Oryza sativa Japonica Group: one gene and its partners. The protein of the gene in region 6 interacts with the protein of the main gene of each other region in a pairwise test. Links are inferred from orthologs where the notes say so. Each region holds a gene or a part of one and is shown on either strand. Other genes may lie near its edges.

The links.
Region 1: the proteins of growth-regulating factor 1 (region 6) and GRF1-interacting factor 2 interact in binary tests that used the Arabidopsis thaliana proteins (3 or more experiments, as listed by UniProt). The link is inferred for Oryza sativa Japonica Group from reciprocal best matches to the Arabidopsis thaliana genes GRF5 and GIF2.
Region 2: the proteins of growth-regulating factor 1 (region 6) and shaggy-related protein kinase GSK1-like interact in binary tests that used the Arabidopsis thaliana proteins (3 or more experiments, as listed by UniProt). The link is inferred for Oryza sativa Japonica Group from reciprocal best matches to the Arabidopsis thaliana genes GRF5 and BIN2.
Region 3: the proteins of growth-regulating factor 1 (region 6) and GRF1-interacting factor 3 interact in binary tests that used the Arabidopsis thaliana proteins (3 or more experiments, as listed by UniProt). The link is inferred for Oryza sativa Japonica Group from reciprocal best matches to the Arabidopsis thaliana genes GRF5 and GIF3.
Region 4: the proteins of growth-regulating factor 1 (region 6) and GRF1-interacting factor 1 interact in binary tests that used the Arabidopsis thaliana proteins (3 or more experiments, as listed by UniProt). The link is inferred for Oryza sativa Japonica Group from reciprocal best matches to the Arabidopsis thaliana genes GRF5 and AN3.
Region 5: the proteins of growth-regulating factor 1 (region 6) and ethylene-responsive transcription factor 12 interact in binary tests that used the Arabidopsis thaliana proteins (3 or more experiments, as listed by UniProt). The link is inferred for Oryza sativa Japonica Group from reciprocal best matches to the Arabidopsis thaliana genes GRF5 and ERF12.

What each region holds. Positions count from the first base shown.
Region 1 is NC_089045.1:25,865,348-25,870,404, forward strand, and holds the start of GRF1-interacting factor 2, read right to left. Parts: upstream 3,284-5,057; 5' UTR 3,180-3,283; coding exon 3,093-3,179; intron 1,966-3,092; coding exon 1,889-1,965; intron 696-1,888; coding exon 608-695; intron 522-607; coding exon 156-521; 3' UTR 1-155. UniProt on the Arabidopsis thaliana protein: Transcription coactivator that plays a role in the regulation of cell expansion in leaf and cotyledons tissues.
Region 2 is NC_089035.1:5,784,558-5,789,645, forward strand, and holds the start of shaggy-related protein kinase GSK1-like, read right to left. Parts: upstream 3,441-5,088; 5' UTR 3,338-3,440; coding exon 3,239-3,337; intron 3,065-3,238; coding exon 2,981-3,064; intron 2,443-2,980; coding exon 2,383-2,442; intron 2,290-2,382; coding exon 2,017-2,289; intron 1,932-2,016; coding exon 1,857-1,931; intron 1,773-1,856; coding exon 1,716-1,772; intron 1,258-1,715; coding exon 1,117-1,257; intron 1,013-1,116; coding exon 962-1,012; intron 885-961; coding exon 789-884; intron 623-788; coding exon 539-622; intron 74-538; coding exon 1-73. UniProt on the Arabidopsis thaliana protein: Negative regulator in brassinosteroid signal transduction pathway important for plant growth. May be also involved in auxin signaling pathway. Phosphorylates and increases the degradation of BZR1 and BZR2/BES1 by the proteasome.
Region 3 is NC_089046.1:19,344,823-19,349,841, forward strand, and holds the start of GRF1-interacting factor 3, read right to left. Parts: upstream 3,190-5,019; 5' UTR 3,035-3,189; coding exon 2,960-3,034; intron 1,313-2,959; coding exon 1,236-1,312; intron 1-1,235. UniProt on the Arabidopsis thaliana protein: Transcription coactivator that plays a role in the regulation of cell expansion in leaf and cotyledons tissues.
Region 4 is NC_089037.1:30,928,118-30,932,916, reverse strand, and holds the start of GRF1-interacting factor 1, read left to right. Parts: upstream 1-1,770; 5' UTR 1,771-2,005; coding exon 2,006-2,095; intron 2,096-3,612; coding exon 3,613-3,689; intron 3,690-4,432; coding exon 4,433-4,517; intron 4,518-4,618; coding exon 4,619-4,799. UniProt on the Arabidopsis thaliana protein: Transcription coactivator that plays a role in the regulation of cell expansion in leaf and cotyledons tissues.
Region 5 is NC_089039.1:24,541,917-24,545,447, forward strand, and holds ethylene-responsive transcription factor 12, read right to left. Parts: upstream 1,868-3,531; 5' UTR 1,800-1,867; coding exon 1,230-1,799; 3' UTR 1,011-1,229; downstream 1-1,010.
Region 6 is NC_089036.1:33,334,990-33,339,862, reverse strand, and holds growth-regulating factor 1, read left to right. Parts: upstream 1-2,070; 5' UTR 2,071-2,268; coding exon 2,269-2,491; intron 2,492-2,587; coding exon 2,588-3,550; intron 3,551-3,665; coding exon 3,666-3,673; 3' UTR 3,674-4,171; downstream 4,172-4,873. UniProt on the Arabidopsis thaliana protein: Transcription activator that plays a role in the regulation of cell expansion in leaf and cotyledons tissues.

The DNA of each region.
Region 1 (5,057 bases), on a different chromosome or scaffold from region 6:
ATCTAAAAGTTTTGTTCTACAACACCGATAAGACGAGCCTTCTAAAACACAGGGGGTGATGAGTAAGGACTACTTGTGATCCACGAGGCAGGGGGCTTTCTTTCTTTTTCATTGCTAGTATACATGGCATTATTCATCCTAACACTTGTGCTAGCTCAGGACTTCTCCGCTATGTCACCGCCTGCGTCGTTATCTGCTCCCGCACTCTTGTGGCTCTCGGTCCCGGAAGGCTCCGAGGTTGCATCCTGCTTGTTTCCTCGGCCATCTACCGAGCCCGGTGCTGCCGTCTGAAGATCGGCTGCGCGAGCAGGGTCAGCAACTGGGATAGATTGCATGCCATTGACAGTACCTGGTCTCATTAGCATCTGGCCGGGGAAGGCTAGAGCCTGAGCTTGCTGTTGCTGGAGTTGCTGCTGCTGCTGCTCTTGCATCTGTTGTGGGGTTAAGGGAGTTCTTGGAGGGAACATCGGTACTTGGGACATGTAATGCCCAGCACCTGGGGTAGCACCAGGCTGCATCATCTATTCGGAGAAATAGTTATTTGAGTGAACTTAACAGTAAGGAGAGATTGAGGCGGTGTTATGCTGACATGTGGAACATAACTAACCTGAGGGCGACTTCCTGGATTCTGAGGTGGTTGGGCATCTGCAATGGCAGCCAGATACAAGAGATTCTTTTGAAGCTGAGCTTGGTACCTAAAATATGAGAGCATGAAAGATAAGCATTGTTACAAGATCATTTAGAAGGCTGCATCCAAATAGGCAGATCACATTACGAATAATTCAATTAAGACAACTAGACAAGTTTGGTGCATCAAAGAAGATTAGAAATCTTGCAACCTTCTTCCTTGACAGATGAAACTAGCATGGCAAAATCAAGATGGAATGAGTAATGCAGATGCTCAACTGTTAAACTAATCTTGTTTTTTCCCCCAAACTTCAAAAGAATTTTCTGTTGTGAAGTGAAAGATCCAACAGTAGTAGAATACTACATGCTGGTATCACTAGGATGATTTTCATGCCTTGGGGTAGTTACTATTCAGACAAAAAAGATGGGAGCTAAGCAGGAGTTCCTTCACTAGAAGGTGTAAAACGAAAATGATTGTTACACTTCCAAGAACATTAAATTTAAAACAACTATCTGCCCACAAAAACTTATATCTTCATGGCATCATGTTACACGTAGGCCCAAACTCCACTGAATGCATGTAGATAGGAAAGATCCATCAATAAAGCAATGATAGATCCCTTATAGGACTTCATAGTAGCACTTGGATAGAAGATCAAACTCCTCATCCATTGCAACAATTAATAAGGCATTCAGCTGAAAATCTAACTTTCCATTGCATAGCACAGGCCAACAGATATATACGATATCATACACTGGATAGACCAATAGAGTAATTAAGCAAGGTGTTCCAGATGATCAAATCAGGCACAGAAACAAGATTTTATTCTCCATATTATAGGTCCTCAGTAGGGAAGACAGTGAATAAGCATATACTTCATGCAAGTCAACTAAACTTCAGATGCCAAAACATATTGGCCACTGTCATTTAGATCCTCCAAATGGTAAAGTAAATTTCAGATGCCAAAACTTATTGACCACTGTCATTTAGATCCTCCAAATGGTAAAGTAAACTTCAGAAGACACAACTATCAAAACTTGGCACTTGTGTGCAATCCTTAGTGCATGATTTTAACAGAATAAGATCAAATGACTTCAAATGTAGTTCTGAAAACATCTTCCAAGCCGTCAACAATTGCAGATTTCCAATTTTAGGTCATTTACATGAAACAAAATGGTCAAGATATGGCAGCCACCTAGAAGCATTTCATATAGTAATCCAGCAATAAAGCCTTTCAAAGATGTTTAGCAAGCAACTTACTGAGCACATTCAGCCAACTTCCCTAGGTTTTGATTTTCCAGGATGGCCAAAATTAGCTGTTTATTTTCATCCAAATACTGCAAAAGAGAAATTGAATAAGTATCTGAAGTTAATGATGTTGATGACCACGCTATAATGCTAATCTATGTGTAATCTTAAAATAATTCATTTATCGTCTCTCTGTAAGAATTGTATATGCAGTTTCATTCTACAATGGCAACATGGTTTATTTCTTGAAAAACCCAAGCTTAAGTTAATGCTAGCCATTCGATATTAGGTTTCTGATGTCAATGCTATTGTGATCAATAGTGGACCAATGATTGAGAAAAGGTTGATTTCTTTCGTATCAAACTTGATGCAACCACAACTACATGATCAGAGAGCTGACATAATTCAGATGTGTGATTCTGTTGTAACTGAAATGTAAGGGGCCAAAAGGTGTGTAGCATAAAATTTTGCAGGCAGAGTTCTTTTATGTTGACATGTTATCATCAATATTGATCAGGTATAATAACATGCATGAACATTTTCTTATAACAGTGGCAGGAGCTGTGCCAATTATTAAGCATATAAGAGAGAAATTAGCATATAAGTAGGGCATAAGGTAAATTGAAGCTACACAGAAGGGCAAAATAGACCACATCAGTGGTTACAGAGCACAAAAAAGAACAAAACTACTAACAAGAAAAGGGGCAATGAAAGCAGAAAGCCGTATTCAAGAACCCCAAAAAAAGGGGAAAACCGAACTTGTGGACTACTAAATTCCTATCATCCTCATGCATTAATGCATGCTTATCATTTCAACCGTATCATGCTTTTCGCAATATTACAGTATTACCAAATTTGGAGACTGGTGGCTATAGATTCAAAATTTGGTTCAACTGGAGACCACACCCCTTACTCCTATCACATTTTCATGCCTATTTCGACTTCTCTTAAGCTGTTTAAACCTCTAATCCCCCATGCACAAGCGTCTCCACTCTCTGCAAAAATGCGTTCTTATTTACGCCTCAGTGATTAATCCCCCCATTTGATTAAAGGCAAGACAAGAACAAAAAGGCTCAATACTTGTCCACCCGGGCACGAAAAAGATCTGATCTTTGGCCGAAGCAATCGCCAAAGGAGCCATCTTTTCCAGAAACCCTAGCGAGATAGAGAGAGAGAGAGAGAGAGAGAGAGAGAGGGTGAGGGAAGCGAAACGAACCTTTTGGATCTGCTCGGTGGTGATGCCGGCCGCCGGCGGCACCGCGGCGGCGGCGGCCCCCGCCGGCATGGCCATCTGCTGCTGCATCTCGCCGCGGCGGCTTCTTCTTCTTCTTCTTCTTGCCTCAGTTTCTTGGTCGAGGGTGGATTTGGTGGGTGCTTTGTGCTTTTCGAGGTTTCTCCAGTCGTTTCAGCTTGGTTTGGTTTGTGTTCAGAAAGAAAATTACCTGAGAGCGAGGAGGAGGGAAGATTACGAATCTACCCTTGTTGGTGGACAATGAGAATCGTTTCTCTCCCACCTCCGTCTGCAGTTGTGTATTTTCGTCTCTAACGTTTGATTGTTCATATTATCTAAAATAAATATTATGATTAGTATTTCTAGTCTTATCATATGATAAGATATGAATAATACTTTATGTGTGACTAGTTTTTTTAATTCTTTCATAAAGTTTTCAAATAAAAAAGACAGTCAAATATTAGACACGAAAAATCATAATTGTACTTATATTGGGATGGATATAGTAGTAACGGCCACATAGGTATGGTTTGAGTTTACTCGAAAAAATAGGTACGGCACTAAAAACCAAAAGAAAAGAGCATGATTAATTCAGTTTTAATTATTTTAATTTGAAAATTGAATTTATCGCATATTTTAATATATAGAAAGTTTTCGCGCAGAACACATAGTCTATTCGTGTGAAAAATGTGCTAACGAAAATCGAGATAGAATATATGTATCTTAATCAGAAAAATAGGTCACTTACACGGTTTAGGCACGTACTTCCATCCCTTCACACATTTTCTGATAAAATAGAGAAAATATGGTAAATCTTTGATCTCATTGATTTTTTATTTAAAGAGGCACCTATACGTACATAATATTTATGGACACTAAGATTTAAACACTGATGAGGAGATTTATGGACCCATTCATTCATCACCATCCCTGAAGGTTCTTCTATGTTATAAAGGATTTTCACATGCAAGAACAAAAATATAATTCATTTTGTGTAGAAATTAGAATTTTTCTCACTTTTCAAATGGAATACTTCCTTTGTTTTAAAATAGGACATTGCTGACTTTTAGGCCTGATATTTTATTATTCGTCTTATTTAACTAATCAAGTGTAAAATATAAAAAAAATTGAGTCATGGTTAAAGTATCTCAAATGATAAAATAAGTTACAACAAAATAAATAATAACTTTTAATAAGACGAATTAGTGATTAAACATCATGTCTAAAGCCAATCATGTAGTACATTTAAAAACTGAAGGGGTATGATATTCAATTTTGAGCATACTATTGTTGGCAACTACGTGAAATTAGTGGATGACAACCGAATATTGATACAATATTCACCCTTTTTTTTCAATGGAACCTTAATCTTTGTAAAGGAACTTCCCTCGTATTCATGTGGACATACTGTAATTTTTTTTTCCATTTAAAACATTTAGAGAAAATATATGTTCCATAAAAATTTACTACCAATGCTAGTAGAGAGCATGATATATTCTCTTTCGTTAGCATATGGCTGCAGAATGGAGAGTGCCAACATTTGCTCTCCAATGGAAGCAAACTTTTGTGAGTGAGAGTGATGGGAGGGGCAAATCTGTCGTTTCATCGAGTGCACTGTTACCGTTGTGATGGCTGCCGCTGTTGGAGAGTGGCTGGCAACTAGCATGGCGCGCTGCAGCAACTCTTGGAAGAAAGTACCTGAAATCCATGTGAAGGCGTAGAAGGTGAGACACGTTTTCCCCCTTCACCTTTGCCTCTTCTTTTCTTCTTGGTTGTCTCACTTCAAAGAATGGTATACAGATTATGTAACAATACAGCTACTCTACCTGGGCTATATTTGTCTTGAAAATATAAAAACCAGATGCGTAGATTAGTTTTAAAAAGTATTTCAATAAAATTATATATTTGTTGATATTTCTATATATATATTATAATAGAAAATAGTTGTCA
Region 2 (5,088 bases), on a different chromosome or scaffold from region 6:
ATGGACGACCATTTGGCAGGCGTGCATTGGGCTCTCGTAGCTCATCAAAGAAGGAATGTGCACATGCGTCAAGCTGCATATAATCAACCAAATGCTAAGCTCTTTGAAAATGTCCAGCATGCTGCTTTAGAGATTATACTGTTTTCCAGCTAAAGCATAAGCTTTAAACAATTAACAGCAACTTTTTCAAGTGGAGCACTAACAACTATATTTAACAGGCACATGCGACTGTATGAAAGTTGCACTCACTCTTCACCAGCCAACACACCAATTTGGTTTTGGACCACTGGATATTATAATTACAATGACCATGCAGGACCAGGGATCCATCAATCTACTTCCATAAGGGACCTCAACAGAAACATTTCGTTTATTGTTCTTGACACACGGTCTATGAATATTTGACTGTAACAGCTAACAACACTTGAAATGAAATGCTAAAATAAGCAAATCCATGTAAATAATCATTATCCTAGCGCTTAGCGAAAACAATAGATTTATAGATAATATAAAACTAAGCAAACGAAAGAAAACTCACAGCAGTGCAGCGTAGACTTGGTGAATATTGGAGAAGACGGGAAGCAAGGTCTATGGCTTCTGGAGGCATTCTCTTGTGGAAAATCTGGTGGTAAGCGAAAGAACAACAGATGGATCAGTTAAGCAGCTGCAGATACATTTTTTTTATTTCAAATTAAACATGATGCAGAAACTGGTTTTGAAGTGGCCTACAATGCCCTGCAAGTAAAATGGTATGAGGAAGGTGATCCAATATAAGAAAACATGGCTACCTTGTGCCAAGGATGAGCCTTAATCTGAGGAAATTTGAACTCAGTATAGTTGGGGTTCATGCATCGTATTTCCTCACGGGTTGGAGTACCAAGAACCTGCCATAATATCAAGTTAACACAAGAAATACCCGTGGCAAAAAAAAAAATGTAGCTTGCACAACATCATGCAATACCTTGATTATCTCTACTAGCTGGTCAACAGCACTCTCTCCAGGAAACAGTGGCTGACAAATACACATTATGAAATATAATCAGAATAACATCACAGCATAATCTAATCAAGGAACCTGAATGTTGCAGTTCCTTAGATAAAGATATAGTGACTAACCTGACCAAGAAGTAACTCTGCAAGAACGCATCCAGCTGACCATATGTCAATTGAAGTTGTATACTCGGTTGCACCAAATATGAGCTCAGGAGCACGATAATAGCGAGAGCAAATGTATGATATGTTCGGTTCACCAGGAACCTGGTGGAATAGTACAAGGAGATCATCAATCTATTTGTTAAAATAGCAAAATGAAGAAATAACAGAACTAGGGAAGAGAGGCCAACAGTTATAATCCAAGCTCAGGAATTCATCATTATAGTCCTAGCTCAGCAACTTTGCATCCAACTTAATAAACTTAACAATCCTTCGACATAATAACAGCACATGATAAAACCAATTTGGAAATATTGATCATGATAGGCAATTTCTTTTATTAACTATTGAGCTATCTAAAAAAGTCTATCCCAGCACAGTGCAAATTTTAACTTCTATCACAAATCAATCATGAAAGGCAAAAGCAGCATATCTACACGTAAAAGCAACATGACGAAATAAACCACTTATGCTGTCAACATTATGACTAGCCTACCACTAGAATAATTTCAGCATACATCAAACCACTGAGAAATTACTCTTAAGGGTGGAAATCAACATACCAGAACCTTTGCACTTCCAAAGTCACATAGCTTGACTTGATGAGTGAGAGGATCAACCTGTATCAGCAAGCAATTAGAGACCAGTTCAAAACAAACAACCAAGCAAGAGAAGTAATGTAGCCTTGTTCACATAAGTCATACCAAAACATTTTGTGGTTTCACATCCCTGTGGCAGACTCCTGGAACAGTATGAATATAAGCTAACCCTCTGAAAAGCTGCAAGCATAGCAAAAGTATCTTTAGAGAAGCAATGAGAAGCATAGTGGCAATCAGAGAGGTGTTAACATGGTGGCTGACAAACCTGATAGATGTAAAGCTTCACATAGATCAATGGCATCCGCTGGTTAGCATTGCTGTAGTGCTTGAGCACACGGTAGAGTGTCTCAGGGACGTACTCCATAACAAGATTCAGGAACAGCTCATCCCTGCTTGTGGTTGAGAAGAAGCAGTGCTTCAGGCAGATGACATTGGGGTGTTCCATTGCGCGCATAAGCTGCAGTTCACGGTTCTTGTAACGCCGGTCCTGCAACACCTTCTTGATGGCCACCGTTTCCCCCGTCTCCAAGCACTTAGCCTAAATGTGAAAACTAAATCAGTTTGATTCAAACATATCAAAAAATGTACAATACACGGTAAGCATGCATTTCCATAAGACCAAGCATCGTACCTGGAACACAATCCCGAAAGAACCAGTTCCTACAACTCGCTCCGCCATATAACTAATTGTCTGCAGTTAAGGTAAGAAAAAAATCGCATGAGAAATCGCGCACAATATCTCAAGATTGACGGATTCTATGTTGTGCATCAGAGTTCCAGCTTATCATGACTAACTAAAATTAGAAGTGAAGCATTTATTACCCCCTAGAAACAACAGGATAGACTATGAAATAGCGGACAGAAAAAGAAAATCATGCTTCCTAAAATGTACATTATCCTCAAGTAATTGAATAACCAAACATTTAATTGAGGAATACACTACGTAATTTTATCAGTCAAATGCTAAATTGTTTACAAATCAAAACGACAACTGTATCTAGTCAGCCCCAAACCCACAAAATTGCGATTCCCCGACGAATCAGCACATAGATAGCTAACTTGATCAGCCGAACACTACCAACAGCTTAGAAACGGCTTAAGAGAGCACAAATCCTTAGCGAACCAAGTGATTGTTACGAGCAAGGAAGCAAGCGAAGGGCGCCAAAACTAGCACATTCCACTGTACACAAAGAAGAACAGAAACCAAAAAGACCCCGAAAAAAGCTCACCCGCTTCGGCTCGCCGTTCTTGCCGCCGATGGTGGTGGAGATGATGTGACCCGTCACGGCGTCGCCCCCGCCCTCCTCCTTCTTCTGCAGCACCTCCAACCAAAAAAAAAAAAAAAAAAAAAAAAAAGGCGCCGCGAGACACCGGAGAGAAAACCAGCATTAGCCCAACGACCACCGAAACCAGCAGATCGGCACCGAGCCCCAGCCCAGATCCACCCCGACACCCCAGATCTGGACACCCCCCTCCCCACGGGTTACCTTCTCGCTGATGCCGGCGGTCGCCGCCGCCGCCGCCACGGCGGCGGGGGGCGGTGGCGCGTCCAGCTCCATGGGCTCCGGCCCCGGCGGCGCCTCCATGCGGGGGGGAGCTGAGCTGAGCTGGGGAGGGAGGCGGCTGCTGCTGCTGAGCGTTGGTGCTTGGCTTTGCGGGGGGATGGTGGTGGTGTGCTTTTGACCGGTCAGGGAGGGGAGGCAGCAAGGCTGCGGGGTGTTGTGGTGTGGTGTGGTGTGGCTGCTGCCGGTGAGGCCGGCTTTGGAGTTTGGACAGATGGGGAAGTGGTTTTACCGATAACTGTGCTGACTCCTCCAGCTAATAACTGTGCTCAGTATGATATTTTTGAAGGGTTTTCTTTCATGAACTGGGATGTTTTATAGGAGGAATTTTAGAGGATTTGCATGAGAGATGAACCAAGGTGAAAATCTTGAGTTTCTTAGTTTAGAAGGAGTCTTTGGTGGTATTGATTAGGATAAAGAATTGGGTATGGATGACGAATGGAGATGTGGTACGTCTTTGGCATGAATTTTGTTGATGCTTAATTTGTATGTTCAAATGGCGGTTATATAGAAATATTTTTTATCATCGTACGGTTTTTATCGGTTTCATCGTAATTGTTGCTTTCTTAAGGTTGTATCGGGATAAAAAGCTCGGGCTAGAATAAGTCAAGAAGAATAGAGATGTTGTACATCTTTAGCATGAATTTTATGAATGCTTCATTTGTATATTTCAATGACTGTTAAGTAGAAATATTTTTATTAACATATGGTTTTATGTTTTTATCCGTTTCATCGTGATTGTTGCTTTCTTTAGGTTGTATTACGATAAAAGGTTGGGACAGAAAGAAACAACTATACGGTACGTCTTTAGCATGATTTTTATAAATGCTTAATTTGTATATTTCAATGACGGTTACGTAGAAATATTTTTGTTAACACGTGATTTTGTCCGTTTCATCGTAATTGTTGCTTTCTTAAGATTGTATCAGGATAAAAAGTTGGGCCGGAATAAATAAAGAAGAATAGAGATGTAGTACATCTTTAGCATGAATTTTATAGATGCTTAGTTGGTATATTTCAACAACGGTTACATAGTAATATTTATATTAACATGTGGTTTTATCTGTTTCATCATGATTGTTTCTTTCTTAAGGTTGTATCAGGATAAAAAGTTGGGGCTGAAAATAGTCAGGAGGAATAGAAATGTGGTACGTCTTTAGCATGAAATTTATGGATGCTTAATCTGTATAGTTCAACGACGGTTACGTAGTAATTTTTTATTAACATGTGGTTTTATCCGTTTCATCGTGATTGTTGCTTTCTTAAGGTTGTATCAGGATAAAATGTTAGGGTTGAAAGTAGTCAAGAAGAATATAGATGTGGTACATTTTTAGAATAAATTGTATGGATGCTTAAGTTGTATATTTTAGTCATGTTACATAGCGATATTTTTATTAAAATGTGATTGTATTCGTTTCATTATAATTGTTGTTTTTTTTTGTTGTATCTAGATTAAAAAAAACTAGGGCCAAAAGAAACTAAGAAGATTAAAGATGCGGTAAGTCTTTAGCATGAATTTTATGGATGCTTAATTTGTATATTTCAATCACGGTTGCATAGCAATGTTTTAATTAACAAGCAGTTTTATATGTTTCATCGTATTAGTTGCTTTTTTAAGGCTACTGATGCTACTTATCTATGATTTTTATGCAATTGATGCTACTGTTTTAGATTGCAGAGATATTATCCACTAATTTGATCTCTCTAAACAAACCATCGGACAAGATGATTCACTGATACTAATAGATTTATCGTGGGAAACATTTTCAGTTTTA
Region 3 (5,019 bases), on a different chromosome or scaffold from region 6:
AGATTTCATAAATTTTAACATGATGCTTGCCAGCTTGACACTCAGCCATTGCAAGTGGAAATTCCTAGGTATTTAGCATGCTGGTAATTTGCTTCGTTTGCACCCAAAAAAAAAGCAATTGATCCTTTGGGCAGCAGAAGACACAAGATGCAAATCAAACATGGAATATATTGGCTGAAGAGTGAGGATGTACATATAGTTGCTAATGATGATACATCTTGCATATTCTTTGAAAGATACACGGTCTTCGAATACATGCTTTTATTGCATTGAATATAAAGAACCACTATAGGCAACGCTACATAAACTAGTCATGTGAGAACCAACCAGTTTATATTCGAAATTGTATGCCAATATGTGTTCAGTGTATAGCACTGTAATACTTCGTTCACCGTAGTGCATGGATTGTGTCAAAATCCACACCAGTACACGTCCCGAAGAGTCAGGAGATGAAGGTCTATACTCTATGTAAATCTAAGTAAAATTATCATAAAAAAACCCTGACTTATATAATTAGATACCAAAAAACAGTATTATAGTCAGATAATTAACAATTTAACATATCATCTAAAAGTTTGAAAATAGAAATTTAATCAAACATTATCATTTAAAAAACAGATGTTATCATATTTGCTGTCTACAGTTCATAGAGTGTTCATATGAACTTTGCATATGCCACAATGCCAGGACCCTTCTAGGATTAATTTTGTATAGTGGCTCAAGCCTCAAGATGGTACAAAACAAGAACTCAGCTGCAGTTTATAACTCGTACTGCACAAAAAGCCATACTTGAATGATCCATGTTTTGCTGTTTAGCAATACTGTTTATTCTGTGTTGAACCATCCAAGCATGGTATGCTTTCATCAGTGACAAGAGCTACATAGATCTTCTAAATATTAAACCTAACGGCTGAGAAAGAAACCAGGCCAAAATATCATTGGATATCGCAGCAGTTTTCAGTTGCTTGTTTATTCAATGCATAAACACAAATTTGAAATAACAACAGCAGAGTGGCAATTTCATTGTTATATACGGCAGCACAATAAATGAATAATTGTATACAATTAACTAATGGTGAGGGACTGAGTGTAGATAACAAAAAAGGAAGATATTAATGTTAACGAGAAATTATTCAACAATGCAATTACGAGACTACTAAGCAGGATGAATTAATATTAACACACAAAAAGGATCATGTCATAACGTAAAATCTCATAAAAGACCGTTTACATACTGAGCACATTCTGCCAACTTTCCCAGATTCTGATTTTCCAAAATAGCCAAAATAAGCTGCTTGTTTTCATCCAGATACTGCAAAAATGAATTAAGACTGTAAGGGAAAATGGTTATTTACAACAATGAAACCACAGAATCAGTAAATGCAAATGGGCGAACCATGTGAAATATATAAGGAACAAGATAGTAATTTTAGAAATGCACTATTACAATTTATGCAGTTTGCAGGAAACATAAGGATTAAAGTCAGCACAAGAGATTATTTAGTCATCTGAAAGTCAAGTTACAATGCTAGTAGGTGCAGGGCATTAATCCAAGTATAATAAGGAAAATATCATTCAGACAAGTATGCAAAGTGAAAATGTATGCCAGAATATGACCTGTATAAGCATGAGCACCCTAATAATATGGATTGCAAAGTAAAGTGGTTCAAAAAACGGCCCCAAGCTGCTATTTTATTCATCTTAGCAGAGAGACATTAGTGCGCTATTTTTAGCTTATTCTAGTACAAGAGAGCAAACCATGACCCAATTTAAGCAGAATATGCATCACCAGCCTTAAGAAGAAAAAAGCATGCATGTCTGAATCTAGTGGGAGCACACAATACAAATCTGCCATTTAGACATGAAGACATGAACTGCTAGGTGATCACAGCTATTAGCTCCAAAAGAAAAGAGCAACGCCTGAAAGATTGGAAAATTAACAAACGAGACAGAAATCAACTAACAAAGCGATGAGTTTTTTCTTTAAGAATTTAAGTGAAAGTTGATATTGTTGAAAGTCAGTTAACATAACTTTTTTTTCTCCGTTGTAAGTTTTAAACTACATCTAAAGCCCACAAGGACTGGAGTATACCTGTACTTCAACAAATCCCAATAAACCCAGTCATCCACGAACAGAAACATAACTAAAATCTGCTATAGAATAGCATACTCTACAAAAGAACAGGACAATCGCACTAAGACAAAGAAATGGTTCCATACAAGTGCCAAGTTGATATTAATGCAGGAAAATGTTTCAGGCATAGAATAATACTTTATAGACAATGACTGATGACTGTCATGATGTGAATACTAAAGAACACATAAAAAAACATAAGTTCAGTTCCGGCTGGAGTGGTCATGGATGATGGATAGTTCCATGTCGAGTAGAAATATTGCAATCAATAAACATAAGCTACACAAGCAAAGATTCAAGCCCAATCTAGTCAAAAGTTGTACTCCAGGTGTTCATAACTTAGTTTTTTTTTATCACAAATGATACATCTTCTCCAATAAACCGAGAACAAGTCAGCATATCTCCTATCAAACCAACATCATCACCATATAATTACAGATCACTCTACCGCCCGGATAACCCAAACGAGTCGTTCTTTATCGAGTCAGATGACGAGCACGCCAACCATGCGGTGCTCACAACACCAACTTCAACCAATGCCCGTCAAATACTCTTCAAATCACATCAACTAAGTTGAAACTAATCAAAAAAGCCAGAATCTTTACCAATCCAATATCCCTAAGACCCTAACCCACCCCTAATCGAATCGAACGCTGGCAAACCTAGCACCATTCGAGGAGGCCGGGCAAAAATAAAAAAAGAGATCAAATCTTTTGCCCCCCAAAAAAACCCTCCCAAGAAGCGAGGGCGGCGCACCCGAACCGGGGCCAAGAACCGGAAGAGAAAAGGGGGGGGGGGGGGGGGGGGTGGGCCCAAAGGAGGCACCTTTTGGATCTGCTCGGTGGTGATTCCGGCCGTCGGCGGCGCCTGCGCGGGCATCGGCATCGGCTGCTGCTGCATCGCGTGCGGCTGCGGCGGCTCACGCTTCCACTTCTTCTCCCCCTCTCTGTGGTTTATGGCGTTGGAGAGGAGGAGGAGAGGGGTTTGGACTTTGGAGGGTTTGGGAACAGCAATGGAGCGAACATTCGCTCCCTAGTAATCTCGCGAATGGATCTGGAAGGAGAGGGGTTTGAAGGCTTTCCCTTTTCATCTCCTCCTAGGATTAGGTGCAATTACTAGTATACCCCTCTTGCTCAAAAGATTTTAATAATTACTACTACTCCGTCTCGAAAGGAATCCAATCCTAACAACGAATCTGTGTCTAGATTCGTTGCTAGGATTAAGTTTTTTTTAAGGACGAAGAGGGTATATTATTGATTGATTAATTACGCGTGCAAACCTCTAGCACACAAGTAGACGGAAGTGAGCAATAAATCATATGTGTCCTCGTTAAATTTGTATTGGGCAATATTTTCGTTAATTCGTATTGAAAACGTACATGTGTGTTAATTGTAGTTCTAGTGTGCGAAGGCGTGCATTTATGACTTCAATGCAATGTATTTAGTGCTTTTACTCTCTTGCTCTAAAGTTGGAGTAGGAAAAATTGAAAAAGAACGTGTTTGCTTTCATCTCAATATGTTGTTATTGAGTTCTAATTTCAATCCAATACTATCTCCGTTCTGTTACATATTGTAATTCTTAGGTGTTTTAGTTATGTTCTGAGTCAAAAAAAAATTTCTAGTTTTGACCAACTTTATAGAAAAATATATTAATATCCAGCGCTATCGTTGCCAAGACATAGCATCTTTTTTCCGAACTAACCAGCTATATTAGCAATATGGTCAATTGATTTGTACCCAACACTCCTAATATTTCACTCACCTCGGTTCTGGCAAATCTTGGGGTCGACTTTTGGTTAAATAATCCATGTTGATTCCATGAGCGCTTGAGTGTTGTTTGGTGCACTAAAAACATGAGGTTTGGTTATGGCATGATGATTTTTAAATTTGTTACATGTGAGTTCTAGATAGTAATAGTCTTTTCTTATAGTGCTTCTCTAGTTGAATAGATTGCTTGGATAAGTCTCACCTAGCGAAAAGATGATGGACCTATTGGAGTGACTATAGTTGATGATCCAAACATAATTGGATGGTGGTTCAAACGGAATATTTGTATCCTGGTTTGTCCTTGACCAAGAGCCATAACCATTATGTTAAGGCAAATTTTGTTAATGATGAAAGTTATATAATCTTGTATTCACTTCTATATAAATCATTTCTACCGTTGTTAAGGATAGCACTCTAGTTTGCATTTGGGATTTGCATGATCTTTAGAGTCTATGGACACATCATCATGTTGTTTTAACACGGCTATCAATTATGTCACTAGTTGGTGTAGTCTCTTCTTTTTTCTAAACATCGCAGAGGTTTACATACAAGGTTAATTGAATTTTTCAAACTTCAAGAGTGCAAGTTACAACATAGTAGTCACTCATTATCTTTTAGGAAAATATGGACATAAAGTTCACCGATTACAATTGCGGGTTACACAATAGCACACTTAGATAGCTTTGTAAGTTACATCGTTAGACATAGATATAAAGCTCTCAAGCAATATGTAACCTATATTTGATAAGAGGAGGTAAGAGGAGGATAATAAATTCGACCTTAGATTAAAAAATTGTTGCTAGTAAATTCAATCTCAGACCTCAAAGTTTATTATGTCACATATTTTCAAGTGGAAAAAAGTTGTCAACCATTAAAAAAATAGAGTAAGGGTAGTAGCTTAATAATACCTTCTCACGGGACCCCTCTCCCACTAAAAACAAAAGTAGTGTAGAACCATGCAACATTCCTCATGGCTTCACACATCAAATGGTTTTATTTTGTGTTGAAATAACCAAATGTTATATGGATAAGCAAATTCCAGTGGGACTACCAAGTGTGCTACATGCTCATGTAATTTAACTCGGGTAACATAAACTCTCTCTCAGTCGCGCTTTGTGC
Region 4 (4,799 bases), on a different chromosome or scaffold from region 6:
ATGTGTGTATGTGTCATTCGGTCGAGCACAGATTTCACGTCACGTACGTGTAAGCCGTAGCCTAGCAAGGAACGTAGAGAAAATAAGGGACACCCATTCTTGGGCGAAACGAGGTTGTGCAACATGGGAGAGAGGAGTCCGACCTCAATGTGAAGGTCCTATCCTCGACATTAGTTGCTTTCCATTCATGCCAACTTATTCTGTGGACTCTACTTATGGTTAGATTGCACAATGAGACTTGTGTCCTTCTATGGCCTTGGGTCTAACTGACAAGTGAGGCCCAACAAATATCGAGCCTTCATTGGTACTACCCTCTCCCTCGTATTTCGTGTGCACGCTTTTCAAATTGCTAAACGGTGTTTTTTTTTTTAAAAAAAGTTTCTATACGAAAGTTACTTAAAAAATCATATTATTGATCTATTTTTGAAAAAAACAAATATTTAATAATTCACGCACTAATGAACCGCTCCGTTTTCCGTGTATACTGTGTGGGTTGGTATCACGTACTTCCGAACACAGCCTAACACAGCTGCCATCCATGTCCTGGCTACTGAGCAAGAGTTGCCTCAGCCCTGTTGAAACTTGAAAGGCAACCATGCTCTCTTCAAAGCAATGAAAAAGTCTCATGGGGACATGGATGTAGCCGAGCTACAGGCAAAGCTTCGACATGGCGAGTCCGAGCTAAGCTACTCATCACTTCAAAGTAATGTGAATGCTTTAACAGTTTTGCTCCGTTTGAAAATGCAGTTGTCTCTATGAAATTAAGTCTAATGGTTAAATATAACTTTTAGGGGTGTTTTGCTTCTGCACCTTACCTTTTTTTTTCAGTGCCAAAATATTAGCCAATTTTGGCCCTACTACTTTTGCGGTAGGGTATAAGTTATATTGACCATGATTAGCTTATTAATGTAAAGTTAAAGTAATTGTTAATCCTTATCCTGGTCAAGTAACTGCAACAAGATAAAAATGAAATCGATGTGGCCCAATTTATACGATCTTAAAGAATGTAACTCCAGTTTATCTCTGGAGATTTTCTCTCTCAAAAAAAAGTTTATCTCTGGAGAGAGCCAGCGAGGAAAAAAATTGATGAATTGCAGGCAAGACTCTATAAGGAGGATCCATTTCGCGATAACTTTGGGTGTTTACCACCATCAACAACTCTGATTAGAATGGAATTAACGTTCTTCTTTTCTTTTTCCCAGTTGTATTTTGTATTTCCATGTGTCGTATGGAGGCTACATATATAGCACATCTGTACAAACAAGCCACGCCGTCTCCTGTTGGAATTCTTCTCTGTACTCGTGACCGACGAGTTCTTCGACACAGAATCTGCTGTTGTTTTAGTACTCCAAAAATCTATCCTGCCCACAAGCTCATCAGATCATGCAGTCCCTGAACTTGAAAATTGCCGTGTTGACAACCATTGTTAAACCCTGAACATGACATATCAACCCAGACATAAATACTCTTCGAGCGTGCAGCCATAATTTTGTTTTATTTTTTTTTGACAACCTGCCTATACGAATCAGGCTTTATTAATTTTATCTTTTTTCCCCTATGTGTGGTGGTGGTCCCAATTCTTTAATGTGCAGGTGTCCAAGTATAGAAAGTTACTGAGCTTTTATGGTAGGTGTGGTAAAAAGTTGCATGGTAAAAACGATCCACTAAATTAAACTTTGTCACCAAAACTGAAGAAAAAAAAACTGAAGAGAAAATCTCTGCAACTGGTTCACCCTCTTTTTAAAGAACTCCACTCCAAAACCAACGAGCAAAGCGAAAGGAGGAGACGGCCAACCAAAACCCTCCTCCTCTCATCATCGCCCAAAACCCCCCAAGAAACCAGAAAGAAACCTCTCCTGCTCCTCTCTCTCTCTTTTCACCGGCAGAGGGAGAGGAAGTGGAGAGACAGAGAGGAAGAAGCAGAGGGAAGAAAAGAAAAGGAAGGAGTTTGCTGCAGCTGTGAGGAGTAGAGGAGGGGGGAAGGGTATAAAGGTTTTTGATTGGAATGCAGCAGCAACACCTGATGCAGATGAACCAGGGCATGATGGGGGGATATGCTTCCCCTACCACCGTCACCACTGATCTCATTCAGCAGGTCATGATCCCCTCTCCCCAAAATCTCTCCCATTTTATCGTCTGTTTGTCTCTCTCTTGTTTTTCATTTCTTGCTTTTTGTTTTTGGTTCCGTGATCTCTCTTCTTTCCTTTCTTTTTTTTTCTCTTGAATCATTTGTATCAAACTCTTTTTTTCTTCGTTCTTGATTCGTTGGTTGGTCTGTGAGTATCTGAAAAAGAAGTTTTATCTTTTCTTGTGTTCCCCTTTTCTATTTCATTATGCGTTTATGCTCATGCTATCTTTCTTGTTTGCTCGTGGTTGTTGATCCTCTTTTGTATCCATTGAAACATCTGGCAAAAAAAAATCTGAAATGAACTAAAGTTTCCCTTCTTTTTTTTTTCTCTGTTCTTACATCTTGTTCATCTGATCTATTTCGCTTTCTCCGTTAATTCCCAACATGATTTGTCGAACAACACGTTTTTTCCATCATATTTAAAAAATAGTTCTAGGGCAGCCTTTTTTTTCTTTATTTTGTTTGGTCAAATAGAAAGGGCATGATCCTCTTATATTCATGATGTTGATTTATCTTCTCGTCCTCTAGTCTTCTCCCTGTATTCTCATGTCTTCAAACATGGTCCCTCACATCTGATTTCCTCTGCAGTTCAAACTGTTGCTGTCCATTTGGTCCTTTTTTTTTCTTTTCTTTTGCTCTTGCTGCTCACATAGTCACATGATGCGGTGATTTTTTACATATCCTTTATCCCCCTCTCCATCTAAATCCTATTTTTAGCTTGTTTTGGTTGGTGACTTGTGCCAATGGTCGTGTCTCCCCCACCACTCGTATTTGGCAACTAGTAAACATGCCAGACCTGTTCCCTGCATCTGCCATTGCAGACCACCAATAAATCTTGGCCCCCTTTCCATGTAAATGTATCATGTGCAATCGTCCAACAAAAGGGAGCAAGAAATGCTGTGAGATTTACATAAATATCTCCTTTCCATATCCGAAATCCAATTTGCAATCTTTGATTTAAAAAATATTTCTTTTTTCTTCAGAAGGACATACCATACAAGATCTGGTCCTTGTTCATGTTGGTGAGAAACTGGGAATGTAGGTTGGCTTGTGCTGTACTAGAATGCCACAGGTTGCAGTTTTGACTGTTAGACCCCTAAAAGATGTGAGCTTTATGGCTAAAGGCCGATATAACAACCAGGGGCCCGGTCTGCTTGGCCTATTCTTTGATAACCTGCTTGCATGCTATCGTGCCAGTTCATGATTGGTCCTCAGTTTGAGATGATAGGCTGGCAATCAGATCTTGTGTGGTTCTGCTCTAGAATCAGGACGCCAATCTCCAGTCTAGTACTTCATTGGTGCTAGGAGTATATTCATGCATATGTCATTGGTGATAAACTGATAGTACCAACCAAATCTTGTGCAATGAACTGCAATATATTCAAGGCATGCATGCAGTACTATCTTTTGTTAGTATTGATGATAAAGACTTTGAAATGTAATGACGTATTAACATGCAAAGATTCAACCTTGAAACTGTGCAGTATCTGGATGAGAACAAGCAGCTGATCCTGGCCATCCTTGACAACCAGAACAATGGGAAGGTGGAAGAGTGCGCTCGGTGAGTTTGATCTTGATCTCCCTGTTATCATGGAGTGCTGTGAAAACTCTGAAGTTGCTGTTCTTTCTGTAGCTTTTGCTCTATCAGAGATGTCTTGTTTGGTAATATAGTCTTTAGGCTTTGTTAACTGCAAAAGGAATGTCTAGCTTTTGTTCAGTCAGGGTTCAAGAAACTAGAATCTACTAGGAGTATTCTGGATAAATCAACTAATCAAGTAGTACAATGTTCTTTGGTGAAATATTCCATTAGGTGTTACAGGTGATTCCACAATGATGGTTGAATTAGTGTTAACTCATGGGCAGGTTAATACTATACCTAGCACCCTCCTGTTAAATAAATTATTAGTGAGTGGCTTGTACTAGAAAAGTACTGTTCCTTGTTCAGTGCACTATTTCTGTTGTGTGTATTGTCAATGTCACAGAACAGTTTGCTGCCATCCTCCACAGTATCTTTTCCAGCCACCGCACAGAAGCAAACTCGATCCAAAGCCTCCTCATTTTTCAATCATCATCATGTCACGTAGTAGTAGTAATACGAGTTGCATGCATGTTCATGTGCATACGCTCTCCTGTTGTTCACTGCTGCTGCTATCTTTCTTGGATTGTACCGGGAAGGGAACACATCAGTTTGGAGCTTTGCATCGACTGAGCAATCCACCCACGTTTTCGCTTGCGGCGCGGCGTTTTGCATTTGCCCTACAGGCAGCTCACAAGCTGACCATCCTCGCGTGTCTGTCGCTGCAGGAACCAAGCTAAGCTCCAGCACAATCTCATGTACCTCGCCGCCATCGCCGACAGCCAGCCGCCGCAGACGGCCGCCATGTCCCAGGTAATTGTGCTGCTGGCGATGATCAGTGAGTCGTGTTTGTTGGTGTTTGATTTGAGGATGAGTGAAGTCATCAATGGCGGCTGCATTGTGCATGGATGCAGTATCCGTCGAACCTGATGATGCAGTCCGGGGCGAGGTACATGCCGCAGCAGTCGGCGCAGATGATGGCGCCGCAGTCGCTGATGGCGGCGAGGTCTTCGATGATGTACGCGCAGCCGGCGCTGTCGCCGCTCCAGCAGCAGCAGCAGCAGCAGGCGGCGGCGGCGCACGGGCAGCTGGGCA
Region 5 (3,531 bases), on a different chromosome or scaffold from region 6:
CCCTTGGAATTGGCTGATTATGATATCTGCATCGCAGGTTTATATAAAATGCAGGATTTGAGAAAACGGAAAAAATAAAACAAATATAATTTTCATAGTATTGAGATCCATTGAATTTCTTATGTTTTTCATATAGATGAAAAGGCCTATGAATTTTCCCCTGTAAGCAAGTTGGACGGGCAACTTGTCACTTTATTATCGGTAAGATTCGACTTTGGTTTCCTGGCAAGGAGACATTAGCCACGTCTGTTGATAGGTGATTAAAACCATAGTTATCTAAATGGATCAAATGTTGGGCACAGTCTGTAGCGGACGCATTGTTTGTTTTATGTTTTTGTTTATAAATAAAATTATAAAATTTAAAACTTTATTTTAGAGTTGATTTTATAGATTTTTTATCATAAGTTATTTTACAATATCTAATTTAAAATCTAAGGACACATGGAGTAGTTAATAAGCTGTGCGCATAACTACAGAAGCATAATCGAACGTGTGTACTAGTAATACTACAGGAAACGACAATCGAGACAGGGTGGACTCGCGAGCCATTTTGTGATGGGACTTTTAAGCAGATGGTCAAGTCAGTGAGGCCGGGAGCTCGGGACGCCGGGTGTGCCATTCATCTCGAGTTGAATGTCTTTTTACAAACCCTAGTTTAGAGTTTAAACAGTTAAGTAAATTAAGGCTGCATTGATATCAATTGATACTGTTAATTTTTTGAAACCCCATTGATACTGTTAATTTTCACTAACGGGGCTTGCATTGATAGCACTAGTAGTTTAGAGCGTTAAGTATATTTGATTTACTGATCAATATGTATAACTGAAATCTTTCTTATAATACCAGTACTAGTATTTTACATGAATTAAAATTTTGTAGTACTAGCTTTTGACCAACCAAATGTTCCGAACCAACCGCTCACTCGCCCCACAACCACCATCACCATGCAAGTTCTCAGGTCAGTAATAGTACTAACCTCGAGTGAGAAAACCGTCTTATACTACAGAAGAGATGAAAAGCTGTACGCTAAAAAGTTCTTAAAATGGAAACAAGAACAGGGGCAATGTGAGAACGCTAAACTTTCCTTAAATAGTAGTACGTATGTACACAGCCGGACCAGTGCTCTCCACTCCCACATTAATCGGTTACCCCTATCTACTAGTGATCTCTAAGCTTGATCCTTGGTCCTAGTACTACCCAGTGATGCTCTACTCACGTACGTGTCGAGATCACGAGCCGAACAGCAGCGCCGGCGGCGGCTCGTTGAGGTCGAACGGGAGCTCGCCGGCGCTCGGCCCCGTCCGGAGCTCCAGCGTCGTCGACGGCAGCGACGCGGCGACGTGCGCCGCGACATGGCCAGCCGCCGCCGGCGCCATCGCCTGCACCCTCGCCGGGAAGTAGACATAGTGCCACGGCGAAGGGTGGCTGATGTCGAGCCCGCCGAAGTGACCAGGGCCCTGCGGCGGCCGCGGCGGGTGCATGCGGTGGTGAAGCTGCGGCAGCTGGGCGTGGCTGTGGCCATGGCCGTGCCCGCCGACGCCACCACCACCGCTGCTGCCGCTGCCGAAGTTGGTCCGCGCCTTGACGCCGCGGAGCGCGACGGCGGCGCGGTCGTAGGCGAGCGCGGCCTCGACGGGCGTGTCGTAGGTGCCGAGCCACACCCGCGTCTTCTTCCACGGGTCCCGGATCTCCGCCGCGTACCGGCCCCACGGCCGCTTCCTCACCCCGCGGTAGTGCGCCTCCGCTCGCCCACCTCCCACTACTCCACCGCCTCCTCCCGCTCCCATGTCCAGCTCCATTCGCCTCCACGAGCGAGAGCCTGTGCTTGCGCTGTGCCTTGACGGACGGATCGGCAGCTGCCACTGCCAGCGACAAGCAAGTCTCAGCGACCCTTTATACGGGAGCCAAATCTATAGTGGCTCGCTACTACTACTAGCGCGCGGTGGCCGCTCGCTCTCGCGTCGGCTTTGCGTTTGCGCGCGCCTCGTGAAATGGGGAGATGGTGGTAGTACTAGTACTAGTAGGAGTAGGTGTCTGCCGCTCTGGGGCCTGCTGCGTTTTGGGGGGTTTGAGGCTGTCGCTGACCAGCGCGGCGCGGTGTCCGTCTCGGCCTCGGCCATCAAGCCCCAGCCGCCGCGCGATTTGACGCCCCGAATGGTCTAATCGCCGTGACGCCAGCCCTACCACCACCCCCAACGCCCTATCCGTCCTGCACGCCCTACCCCCCCTGCACACTGACCGCACGGGCCCTCCACCTCCTCCATACCTCTCCCCTGTCCGTTACGTCGTGTTGACGCGGCGGACTAGCCTACCAAGGGTGAAAGCGAGATACAGTACGGCCCAGGGGACGTGACCGGGCCCGTGACGAGTGCGTACGTACGTTTACTAGTACTCCTCCTACGTCCCGACGTGCCAGCGGCAGCAGGCGGATGGAAGGAAGGGAAGAAGGAAAGCAACCGCGGCGGAGGTAACGTGTGGGGTTGGCGTTTCGGCGTAGGGGGGGCGACGTGCCGTGGCACGATTCGGCCCCCGGGGTCGGGTTCACGTGGGCGAGGAGGTCCAGGAGCCGTGTCGTGGCGCGGGGGGCAGGCAGGCAGGCAGCACCGCGGTTTGCCGACGCGTGCGGCGCGGCGCCGCTCAACAGTAGCAGTCGCCGCGGCGCGCCCCGGTGGGTGGGTGGCCTATCCGGCACGGCGTTGTCCGCGCGCACGCCGTTCGGTGGGTGGGTAGCCAGCCGCTTGTCACGCTCCAAATTACTCCTCGTCCGGAGTAGATTCGCAGCGCCGCGGGCAGCAGTAGCTATCTCGCGCCTACCCGACGATGGATCGGCTCGACCCGTCCAAATCTCGTGGGGAATTGAATGTGGGAAAAAATACTTTGGGGAAGAGACGGGCATGGCATGGCCGCAGCTAGCTAGGCTGCCGCGGCAGGAGCAGCAGCAGCGGGAGGAAGGGAAGGGAGAGAAGGGGGGGGCCTTGGGAACGCGCGAGGCTTGACTGCCTTCTGCTGGGTGGGACAGCGGGAGGACCTGTCGAGCGCTGATGGTGCAGCGCAGCGAGCGGCGACGACCCCTGCCTTGGGAAGAGGCGTACCATTGATGAAAGGCCAAAGGCGTTGGCACAGTGCGTGCGTGTGTACTGTATAGGGTAGCCATGCCCATGCTGTTTTGGATGGACCGGCTAGACCGGTAGTACTGCTCCAGCCCGGCCGGCCGGCCGGCCGGCCTCTTTATTATTCCATGCATTTCTTTGTGATGCTCCCTGTCAGTGCAGCATTTTATTTTACCCTCGCCTTTTCAAATGAAGATAATGTTGCGGTGCTAGTAGACAGTTATAAATTGCACAGACAACTGAAAGATTTAATCATGCCAAAAAAAAAGCAAAAGATTTAACGAATGGAACGTGCAGAGCAAACATTACGGCTTCACCGAACTAATAACCCAGATTCACAGGACGCCTGGCCTAATCAATGTTAGCACCGCTTTTTTCAAGCCTTGTACCCGTACTGTCGCCGCACAGCATTCAAATAAAC
Region 6 (4,873 bases):
GGGGGGCGCACAGCAGATTCTGCAGCGCACTCTCTGCTCTGCCTCTGCATCTTGACTGAATGACCTATCTTCTGTACCCGGGACATAAATTATCGGAGTTAAATATCCGGAAACTATTCAAACAGGCCATCGTTCGCACGCCTACGTTTTTCTTTTAAGAAAAAAAAAATATGTCCTCTGCTTCGCTCACACGCACGTACTACTACGTGGGCTGCTTGGTTGCAAGCATCCTTTTATGACAAATCTGTACTGTGCGGTAGGGTTATTTTCCATTCTTCCTACTCCTACGGTTTGTTCTTGACATTTTTTTTCACAAAGAAAAGGACGGAAGGAGTATAAAGCATGTCGCTTGTCCAAGCAAAAGAACAGTAGCCAGTGGCAAACAAAGCCCTGTTTAATTCACCCCAAACTTCCCCCAACTCCTAACTTTCTATCACATCACATCACATTTAAAACTTTCCTACACACACGTAAACTCCCAACTTTTTTTCCAAACTACCAACTTTCCCCAAACTTCTCCCCAATTTCAGAAACTAAATACAACCATAGTACCACTGGACAAACGAGTCCTGAGAATGAAAGTGATTGACTAAAAACTATTATGGCCGAGTTTAGTTTCAAAGTTTTCTTCAAACTTCCAACTTTTTCATCACATCAAAACTTTTCTACACACAAACTTTCAACTTTTCCGTCACATTGTTACAATTTCAACTAAGGCTGTGTTTAGTTCACACCAAAATTAGAAGTTTGGTTGAAATATGAACAATGTGATGGAAAAGTTGGAAGTTCGTGTGTAGGAAAGTTTTGATATGATGGAAAAGTCAAAAGTTTGAACAATTATTTTCGAACTAAACACGGAGTAAACTTCCAATTTTATCATGAACTAAACACACCCTATGTGTAAATGTCTCACTGTTAATGAGAAGTGAAAGATCTATAAATTTCTATCCGGCCTAGAAACAGTTGAAGTAATAACATCACTACCTTAACTAAAGATGTTGGGTTTTTTTTTAAAAAAAAACACATTATAAACGTACACCCACCTGTAAACATATACACTCACTTTGCATATTCGGTTATATTCCGACAATATAAATGGCAAAACTTGAAAGGTGCCATGCATAGGGAAAAAAACTGTCATGCTAAACAGGAAAATACATACTTGGTGTCAACTACTTCGTGGGTTATTATATTTTGACGAACGCATTAGTGTTAATTCACACTATAATATATTTGTTGAAATACTTTTCACTAAAAACACCCTAATCGCTGAAGCGGTAAAAAAAGATTAGATCTTATTTGGACTATAGGGCTCGTATAATATGTTTGATATGTCATTTTAAAGTTTAATTAATTAGATAATTACCTTCTAGTTTACAAATGTCTAGAACTTCAATAACATATCTGGTTCATATGATGTCACAATAAAATGCCAGTCCGAGTGATTTTCTTTCTAACCGTCGTCTAAGCCGTACATACGTAAAATACTCCATTTGTTTCTAAATATTTGACACCGTTGACTTTTTAGCACATATTTGACCGTTTGTCTTTTTCAAAAACTTTTGTGAAATATGTAAAACTATATGTATACATATAAGTATATTTAACAATAAATCAAATGATAGAAAAAGAATTAATAATTACTTAAATTTTTTAAATAATACTAATGGTTAAACGTATTTAAAAAAATCGATGGCGTCAAATATTTAGAAACGGAGGGAGTATATATAAGTTAGACTCATGATAATCCAACTCTATACGTTAATATTGCAATTTTAAAAGGTAAAATATACTTTTTATGCAGGACTAATTGACTGTATTGAAAGATAGTTGATGCATTTACGTAGTAGTACAGTAACGTTTTATAGAATTCACATTCGTTTAATTAAAACCCACCGTTTATTAATTAGAAAATGTATTAATAAATGGCCGAAACCTGATATTTTTGGCAGGCAGGAGCGCATTTCGCAGTATTACCCTCGGGTTTTCTTCTGGATCCGGAAACAGCCTCCGGCTCGCAAGTCTTAAATGCGCACGGACGTCGCTTCCCACCCTCACCCCACCCTTCCCCGCCCATTACAAAACCCCAGCCACCGAGAGCTCTCCCGCTCCACTCGCCGCACACCACCACCCTCACCCCTCCCCCCATCCGCGTGATCTCCCGAGCAGCTAGAGCGCGCGCCCGCGGCGCCTGTACTGCGAGACCGCTTCGCTCGCTTCCGGTCGGTGAAGAGGCGGTCGGTCGCAGCTGAAGTAGTTGTTGCAGAGATGATGATGATGAGCGGTCGCCCGAGCGGCGGCGCCGGCGGAGGTCGGTACCCGTTCACGGCGTCGCAGTGGCAGGAGCTGGAGCACCAGGCGCTCATCTACAAGTACATGGCGTCCGGGACTCCCATCCCCTCCGACCTCATCCTCCCCCTCCGCCGCAGCTTCCTCCTCGACTCCGCCCTCGCCACCTCCCCTTCCCTCGCCTTCCCTCCCCAACCTTCACGTACGTTACACACATCCTCCTCCACGTACGTACGTACGCGTTGTTGCCGATGCTAACAAAGTCCATATTGTGATTGGTGTTTTCTTTGGAATGCAGTGGGGTGGGGTTGCTTTGGCATGGGGTTTGGGCGGAAGGCGGAGGACCCGGAGCCAGGGCGATGCCGGCGTACGGACGGCAAGAAGTGGCGGTGCTCCAAGGAGGCGTACCCGGACTCCAAGTACTGCGAGAAGCACATGCACCGTGGCAAGAACCGTTCAAGAAAGCCTGTGGAAATGTCCTTGGCCACGCCGCCGCCGCCGTCCTCCTCCGCCACCTCCGCCGCGTCGAACACCTCCGCCGGCGTCGCCCCCACCACCACCACCACCTCCTCCCCGGCGCCCTCCTACAGCCGCCCGGCGCCGCACGACGCGGCGCCGTACCAGGCGCTCTACGGCGGGCCCTACGCCGCGGCCACCGCGCGCACCCCCGCCGCCGCGGCGTACCACGCGCAGGTGAGCCCGTTCCACCTCCAGCTCGACACCACCCACCCGCACCCGCCGCCGTCCTACTACTCCATGGACCACAAGGAGTACGCGTACGGGCACGCCACCAAGGAGGTGCACGGCGAGCACGCCTTCTTCTCCGATGGCACCGAGAGGGAGCACCACCACGCCGCCGCCGGGCACGGCCAGTGGCAGTTCAAGCAGCTCGGCATGGAGCCCAAGCAGAGCACCACGCCTCTCTTCCCGGGCGCCGGCTACGGCCACACCGCGGCGTCGCCGTACGCCATTGATCTTTCAAAAGAGGACGACGATGAGAAAGAGAGGCGGCAACAGCAGCAGCAGCAGCAGCAGCAGCACTGCTTCCTCCTGGGCGCCGACCTCCGTCTGGAGAAGCCGGCGGGCCACGACCACGCGGCGGCGGCGCAGAAACCTCTCCGCCACTTCTTCGACGAGTGGCCGCATGAGAAGAACAGCAAGGGCTCCTGGATGGGGCTCGAAGGCGAGACGCAGCTGTCCATGTCCATCCCCATGGCCGCCAACGACCTCCCGATCACCACCACCTCCCGCTACCACAATGGTGCGTAGAGTACTAACCTTCGTCTCCACTGATCAGAACCGTTTCTTGATTCTTATGGCGAGCCGTGCTGACGATGATCCAACTTGCTTCCTGTTTGGTCTTGTGCAATCTGCAGATGATTAATCTCTTGAAGAAGCCAAGAAGTGATCAACACGCGGAAGAAATCAACAGCTTCTTTCACGGCGTGCGAGCTGCATGCTGATGCTCCAGGATCGATCGATCGATCATTGCATCTCCAAACTAATCACGCTTCGATCTTTCAGGACTTCATCAATGACAGGCCGAAACCTCCTACGAGTTCTCTGATGATATTCTTATTTTTTTCCCACTTCTTTTCGTTGAGCTTTTTGTAATGTTGCTTCGAGTGTTACTCCTACATTTTCTCCGAAATGGCCTCAGAATGATGCGGTCGGGCTGATTAATTAGGTTAGACTCTTCCTGAACCAACTAGGAATAGATTTTCTGCCTGGTTCCTGTCAGTCCTTGTAATATCTGCAGCAGCTTGTGAGACAAGCGTGTTCGCTTTTGTGAACGCCCTTTTTCTTCTTTCCGATTCCTCTGCCTGTGATAGTACTCGCTCCGAAAAAAAAAAAAAAAGCAAACCGTGGATTCTTGGGTCAACGTGTCCGTTTTATATTGTCCGTTTTATATGAAATTTTTTTATAATTAAAATTTCTATTGTTGTTAGATGATAAAACATGATTAATATGTGACTTATTTTTTTTATATATTTTTTTTAAATAAGACGGACGGTCGACACGGTTTTTTTTTTTTTTAAGAAGGAGGGAGTAAGTCACATCTCTGGATTCTGCTGAAAAGCTCACTAGCGCCATCCTGCTTCAGAGAATACTTTATGCTTTCTGACAAGTCGGTGTAGGAGTAGTAGTATTGCTAGGTGTACTCCACTCCCCTCCTTAAGTACATTACCAGTGCAACGTAAAACAGCTTTGCTCCTGAGCAACGGAAATGCTTAATACCGTACTCTTGCACTTCGTCAGTTGGTTGAGTACACTGTGCAAGTACCAAATTGGTCTTCTTAAGTGTTACTACTAGGTTGATCACTTGTTGAACCGTTTAGGCTGTCGATCATTAGCATTCAGGGTTATCACTGCAAAGTCCCAAACAAAAAGATTCTCCCAGGGTCTATTCTCCCCTGAACCGTTTTCCCATTGACCGGCCAATGCTGCAAGAAGCTGGATGCAGAGCTAGGAGTAGCTGCAGTGCCCCCACTCCTGCACCTTCCTGCAGACACTCAGAGAGAGGGAGAGATGGAGGACTGTGATGACTGACCAGCACCCCTGCTTTGGTCTCCATGGATTCAAT